Linked DNA regions of Caenorhabditis elegans. The protein of the gene in region 1 interacts with the protein of each later gene in a pairwise test. Each region holds a gene or a part of one and is shown in the gene's direction. Other genes may lie near its edges. The genes, in order: nlp-27 and F52H2.5.

Region 1 (3,122 bases):
GGAAAAAGAGATTTTCTTGAGTTGGCACAACACGGTAAACTTTGAAATTTGCCGCTCACCCCTGTTCGGTATATTGAGTCATTTTGGGCAAAAACCCCACAAACGCTACTCCACTCTCAAATATGTTTGAAAATTGACTGAGATGTTGGTTTAATTTTGAAGCTGCCTAAAAAGTTAAAATCCACTATTATAAAAGTACAAAATGCTTAAAATCTTTCATATTATGTAACAAAAATCATATTTCGTATCAAACACAAATACCACGTTCCAATATTTTATAACGGCTAACGTTACCACTGTCCAATTTGAACTGATCTATAACTGATCTAGAATCAAACTTTATTTGACGTATAACAGTGATGTTCAAGTAAAAATACCGAGTCTTGTGATCTTGATCAACGAAAAAAACTAATTGAAGATAGACGACGGCACCTATAAAAGAGGCGAAAAACGTGGTAAACATCAGAAAATCATTTTCGTGACTTTTAAAATACAAAAATGATTTCAACTTCTTCAATTCTGATTCTCGTCTTCCTTCTCGCTTGCTTCATGGCTACCAGTGCTCAGTGGGGATATGGAGGATATGGAAGTAAGTTTTTGTGCTTTTTTGATTAAAAAAAAACTTACCTCAATATAAAATTAAATCATTCACACATATTTTTCATTTTCAGGAGGTTATGGTGGATATGGTGGATACGGACGTGGAATGTATGGAGGCTATGGACGCGGAATGTATGGTGGATATGGCCGTGGAATGTACGGAGGATGGGGAAAGTAGACAAATTAGCCTACTAACTATATTCATTCTAAATCTCGTCGATTCCAGCAGTATTCTGATGGTTTGTATACTTATTCCCATATAAAATTTTTGAAATTCAAAAAGTATTATCCACATTGTAACTATTGAGTGAGTGAAACTCAAACAACTCGTTCAAAATTAGTAGAATGTAAAGCCTGCAAGACTAGAACTTCAGTGTGCACGGAAATTTTTTTTTAAGTTTCAGTACTTGACCAGTGCATGATCGTATTGTTTGAGTTACTACCAATACCTTGTAATCCGTTTAAACAATTATATTTGGTATTTTGGATATACTTCTTAAAAACAGCAAGTGGACGATTTGTGATTTCTGTAACTTCGAAACAAAATCTTATCAACTCAACATTTTTGCAAAGTGGTGTTTTACAACATTATTGACATGGTTTGCAAAGTATATTTTGAAAACTTATATGAAAGAATTGAGAAAATTTTGTAACTTCTAACAGGCAATTTCTCAAAAAGTTGAGTTAAAGTTGGATGTTGTGCTAAAATTAAAAGTTGATTTATAATGAAAAAAAATTATTTCAGAAGATCAGATATTTTTTCTGTATTTCTATATAAATTCTCAAAAACCTGGTTTTTCTTATAGTTAAAATTAAAGAGAAATAATCAAATTTTCTGCAAATAAATTTATTTTCTATTTAATAATTTGAGGAGTTGCTCAAAAATTTACTCTAGCTTCATTGCTCCCATTTTGACTGACTTTGAGACCGTTTTTGAAAAACTTCTCGAAACTCTTAATGTAAAGTAAATTTATTATCAAAATTTATAATTGTTTCTCTATATTTTCATAGAACTTTCCTCAAAAAAAACTACGACGCTACTTTTTCACAGTAACTTTTTATACAAATGTATTTGGCAACAAAAAAACATTTCTGATTTGTCATTTTCCATGGATCATCTTGACAAACATCAAAACACTTGAGAAAAATTGCGTATTTTGCCCGATAGGCCATTACCAATTTGACCAAGTGACCAATTCAAAGTGATTCACCAAGTCAGTTCGCCGCGTGCAGGAGGTGGAGATGTGGTAGAAAAAAAAAAGATGATCTTATCAGTTAGTTGTTTGACGAAAAAGGAACCCAAAATGAACAGTATAAAAGATGCCAGGTAACCAGGTAGAATACAGAAAACTTATTTACAAGTTTTTCAAAGAAATATCATTATGATTTCCACTTCTTCACTTCTTATCCTTGTCGTCCTTCTCGCCTGCTTCATGGCTGCCAGCGCCCAGTGGGGATACGGTGGAAGTGAGTTACTTTAAAAGTTTAAATCCTAAATTTTCGATCATTTCTGTTTAACATATCAATATATTGTAACTTTTCAGTGCCATATGGTGGATACGGTGGAATGGGAGGCTACGGAATGGGAGGATACGGAATGGGATACAGACGGCGCATGTGGGGAAGCCCATACGGTGGATATGGAGGATACGGTGGATACGGTGGATGGGGAAAGTAAATTCGATATTTTAAATAATCTTCTGACTTTGTAAATAATAATGAATTTTCGATCTTTATTTGTTATCTTACTCGCAAACTTTGAAACATGTATCTAAAGAAACGAAGAAGACAGAGAATTTCAGGTCAAAGTACAGTGCTGGCCAAAAAGATATCCACTTTTGGTTTTTTGTGTGTAACTTTTTTCTCAAGCATCCATTTGACTTGAATTTTTCCGTGTGCATAAAGCGAAATGTTACGCAAATTTGCGGACCAAACATTACATGATTATCGATTTTTTCTGAATTTTATTTCAATTTTTTGATTTTTTCGTTTTTCCAATTTTCATTATTTTTTTTGAATTATCAATAAAACGCACTCTGTTTGTTGCACTGGATTTGTTTGGTTGATAAATTATTTTTAAGGTATGGTAAAATCTGTTGGGTGTAAAAATCTTTCCTTGGACGTCAAGAAAGCCATTGTAGCTGGCTTCGAACAAGGAATACCCACGAAAATGCTCGCGCTGCAAATTCAACGTTCTCCGTCGACTATTTGGAAAGTAATCAAGAAGTACCAAACTGAGGTGAGTTCGAAAAATATTATTTTTTAATAATAAATGTTTAGAAATCCGTCGCTTTGAGAATCTCGCCCGGCAGGCCTCGAGTGACAACCCATAGGATGGATCGCAACATCCTCCGATCAGCAAGAGAAGATCCGCATAGGACCGCCACGGATATTCAAATGATTATAAGTTCTCCAAATGAACCTGTACCAAGTAAACGAACTGTTCGTCGACGTTTACAGCAAGCAGGACTACACGGACGAAAGCCAGTCAAGAAACCGTTCATCAGTAAGAAAAATCGCAT
Region 2 (4,127 bases), on another chromosome or scaffold:
ATGAGTGACGTCATTTTTGACATTTTTGTGTTTTCCGGCTGTTTTAATAAGTAATAGGTTTTAGCTTCTTTTTTTCATATTTTTTTTTGCTTCATAATTTTAAACGCTGTTTGTCATATATTTTTCCAAACAAAAAAATATTTTTAAAAGTTAAATTATCGATTTTCAGGCCAATTTTAGAGTTTCAGCAGGATCTTTTTGGATTACCATGTTTTCTTTTTGGAAAAATGTCTGAAAAAATTAAAACATCAGGAAAATGCATAAATGTCTAAAATGACGTCACCCATTCACGCGGGAATTCAAAAATAATTCAGTTTTTTTTATGGATAAAATTCGGTATATTGGGACTGTATTCTATTATTTAAGGCAAAAACCACAAACGCAACTTTGTCAAAAAACAATAAAAGTTTGAAAAGTATTCATTTAAAAAAATGTTTTTTGTTTATCGTCAAAAAAAGTTGTTTAGTTTTTTAAACGAATGTTTTCAAAGTGGCTAGGTTAATTTGAGAAACTTTTTGAAACTATCGTCAAATGAAAGATTATAGTGATTGACATAAATTTCCGCAATTTCAAAAAAAAATCTATATGCAATAAGACGCATTCTCACCCCAAATATTTTCAAACTTTCACAATAAATTTCAGATTTTCTGATGGCCCAGACACTCACGATGAAGTCGTCAACCCAATTGGAAGGTGGTACAAAAAATGGTTCTACACTCACGTTGAAGATTTGATCAATAAAAAGCACGAATCCATTGAGTACATTCCACTCCGTGACTACTACCATCGTCACTCAAAGAGCATTTTCTGGGAGCTCAGAGACATCGTCCCATTCGGAAACAATGTCCTGTTTCGTTACTTGATGGCTTGGATGTGCCCCCCAAAGATTGCATTTTTAAAGGCAACAACTCCAAACGTTTTAAGAAAGCTGTACGATCGTAGTCATGTTTTGCAAGATATGCTTGTACCACTGGATAAGTTGGAAGAGTGCATCGATCTTTTTCACAAAGAAGTCGAAGTACGTTTTTCAGATTTTCCATATTTTCTAGCATTGTTTCCAGATCTATCCAATGTGGTTGTGCCCATTCTACTTGAAATCCCAACCAGGTCTCATGAAATTGAGAAATGCTACTCACAAGATGTACGTGGATGTTGGAGCGTATGGAGTAACATCCAAGGATGGTTATCATCACGAGAGAACAACACGGCGACTGGAATCGTTTGTTCGATCAGTCAATGGGTAAAATTTGCCTATAAATTATCACTTTAATAATTTATCGTTCAGATTCCAAATGACATATGCCGACATTTACATGACACGAGCTGAGTACGCTGAAATGTTTGACAGAACACTCTATGATTGGAAAAGAGCATCTTGCAAATGTATCGATGCGTTCCCAGATATTTACGATAAAATTTGCAGAAGTGGAAGGCGTTAAAATTTTTTATTTAAAGGTGGACTATGCGAGAAATGATTAAAAATTAATCCTATGATGTTAAAATGACCAAATATCATTTTTAAAAAAGTTTAAAAGGTTTCACGTTTTGATAAGACATGAAAAATTTTCCAAAACTTTTATTCTGCTATTTGGTGATTTTTGCACAATATCAATGAGGCTTAATCACTTCTACATTGTTCGCAGTTCACTTTTTTGAATTGATAGTCATTGCTCGATTGTTTTTCTCATCTCAATTACTTCATTGTACTGCTTAAATTTTATCATTTTACAGGCTCAATTTTCAGAAACGGCGTACAATTTTTGTTGGTCTTCATTTTCATAAGTTTACAAATCAATTAATTTAACTAAATACATTACCATGCAGAATAAATTTAAAAACAAATTTTTTTAAAAGTTTTTTTTTGAACTGTTATTTCACTTTTTTTCCCCATTTTGTTTTATAACTGCGTGTCTGCACACAATCGGGACCTCCACCCTCTCTGCCGACGCGCAAGTGTTACTGACCCACATTTAGTTTTCTTGGCGCGTTTCTTGTTTTGAATGTTGAACAGTGTTCGAGTACCTCTGTTTTTTCGTTTCAACCTCATTTGTGAGTTACTTTTTATTTCAATTTAGTTAAATAATTAATATCTACTTTGTTTTCGCAGAGTTGTCAATTCAGAAAATTTCAGACACTTCTACGGGTTGAAAAAATGTCGGACGGGTTAATTGACAAACCAAAACTTTTTGTTCAAGGAATGTTCGTGACAAGTACCTCTGGAGAAACTGCTGATGAGACAACAATGTCGAAAATTGACAATATCAGTGAGTTATTTTACAAATGTATTTTTTTCTGTTAAGACTAATTTTTACAGTTACGTATGGTCTCCAGGCAATCGAACATTTCCTAGAAAAAAACGATGGGCAGACTGAGCACTCAAAGTTAGAATACAAACGTGTTGTAGCTGACAAAGAAGTTGAGTACGTTATTATTAGAATTTGGATGAAACTGTTAAGAATTCATTTTTCAGGTGCAATCCAGATGGTGTGAAAATTGTGATTTTCGTGGAAGACATCGAGGTTCCCGCCAAACTGACTGCATTCGCCAATGGTAATCGAGCTGAGATCCACATTCCGAAGAGCAAAATTGACGAACTTTCCGAAGAGACAAATATCGATAAGCTACCAGCTAACGAAAAAGCAGCGTTTGAAATGCTTCTTAATCATTTTCTTCATGAGATGATGCATATGGTGAGTTTTTTCAAATCTTACTATTCTGATCATTTGGTTTAAATGAAAACTTTCCCAGTTTGGAGCTTTCCATTCTGATGTTGGAATCATGTCCGGAGTCATCCAGTTGTTCAATGAAGAAAATCGTATTGACTTGGCCATTTTGTTAGATGATCACTCTGCTCGAATTGTTTCTGAAACCCTTATTGGTCAAGTGCTCCCAGATCCACCAGTTGCAACATTTGTGTATGATGAGAAAGACAGATCGCTGAAATTCGAAAGCAGTGCAGGATTCCACACAGTCATGTTTCTGAACAAGTGAGTTTTTAGTGAAACTTTTCGAAAAATATTGGATTTTTTCAAAAAGTGGCAATTATTGAGTTTTTGCCACTTTTTGAAAAAACTAGAGCACTATCGTATGTTCGATTCCCTGATAATTTTTGAAACACACGTAAGTAGATAATAAAAACGGTATTTTTTTCAAATCGACGGCTTTAAAAAAGTGGAAAACGGAGTTTTTTCCGAATTTCAAAAACTCATATAAAATTTATCACTTTTTTTGAATTTTTAAGTATGAGATTTAGGTCATTATAGGCATTTTTAAAGGCAATTTTCGCTACTCCACCTTCAAAATATTTTTGCTCATTTTCAATAAATTTAAATTTCAGCTCCTACTACACAAATCGATTCTACTATTCCGTTGATATGAATTTTGAATGCATTGTTCCAAAAGATTCGGATTGGGATTCGCTTCTTGTTCAATTTGTCTATGGAGCATCGTTATTCTACAAAAAATCGTCCATTTACAACAATTGTGACTATGACCGCATTCGTCGCCGCTGAGCCAAAAACTACGTTTTAATTTATTTTTCACATGTAAAAACATAATTTTAGACACATAAACCATTTTAACAATTTCCAACTAATTAACCAGGGGTCTGAAAAAAAGAGGCGTTGAGCACCCGCATCTGGAGCAAGTAAAACGTTCCAGAACAATCTAACTTAGATTTTAAACTAAAAATTAGGTTCTAAACATATTCTACTGTTTGTGAAAACCTGTAACTCCGTGGAAAAAAATCTAACAATAAGTAAAAACCTTGTAAATTGCAATTCAACAACTTTCAGGAAAACCGATTATTAGCCAGAATATGTAGAAGTGTTTGAAGTGAGAATATATTTATTATGCCAAAATAATTATGGTTTTTCGCATTTCTACTTGTACGAATTGTCATTGTATTCTTTTATATCGGCGGCAAAATACTGTAAAATTGGGGGGAGGGGGGGGGGGGAAATAATATAGTTGAGATCAGTTTTTCTCGAACTTTAGTAAATAAAAGAAAACAACGAAAACTAAATTGGTGGTAACTGGGGATTGTGAGCGCCGAGAACTGAGAGCTACAAGTTTTTATGACACTATTCCTCTTTGTTGGCGTCGACAACCATGAACAACTTTTGCGT

What was found.
Region 2: the proteins of nlp-27 (region 1) and F52H2.5 interact in a two-hybrid assay, tested with the Caenorhabditis elegans proteins (one large-scale study listed by BioGRID).

What each region holds. Positions count from the first base shown.
Region 1 is NC_003283.11:3,987,436-3,990,557, forward strand, and holds nlp-27 (Neuropeptide-Like Protein), read left to right. Parts: upstream 1-1,942; 5' UTR 1,943-1,982; coding exon 1,983-2,067; intron 2,068-2,144; coding exon 2,145-2,278; 3' UTR 2,279-2,335; downstream 2,336-3,122. Other genes in the region: nlp-28 (QWGYGGY-amide), read left to right, coding at 499-589, 672-778.
Region 2 is NC_003284.9:2,557,431-2,561,557, reverse strand, and holds F52H2.5 (Peptidase_M10 domain-containing protein), read left to right. Parts: upstream 1-2,012; 5' UTR 2,013-2,049; intron 2,050-2,131; 5' UTR 2,132-2,152; coding exon 2,153-2,264; intron 2,265-2,314; coding exon 2,315-2,420; intron 2,421-2,470; coding exon 2,471-2,690; intron 2,691-2,748; coding exon 2,749-2,987; intron 2,988-3,337; coding exon 3,338-3,512; 3' UTR 3,513-3,582; downstream 3,583-4,127. Other genes in the region: Delta(24)-sterol reductase homolog dhcr-24, read left to right, coding at 643-1,018, 1,062-1,240, 1,286-1,439; aat-3 (Large neutral amino acids transporter small subunit 1), read right to left, coding at 4,083-4,127.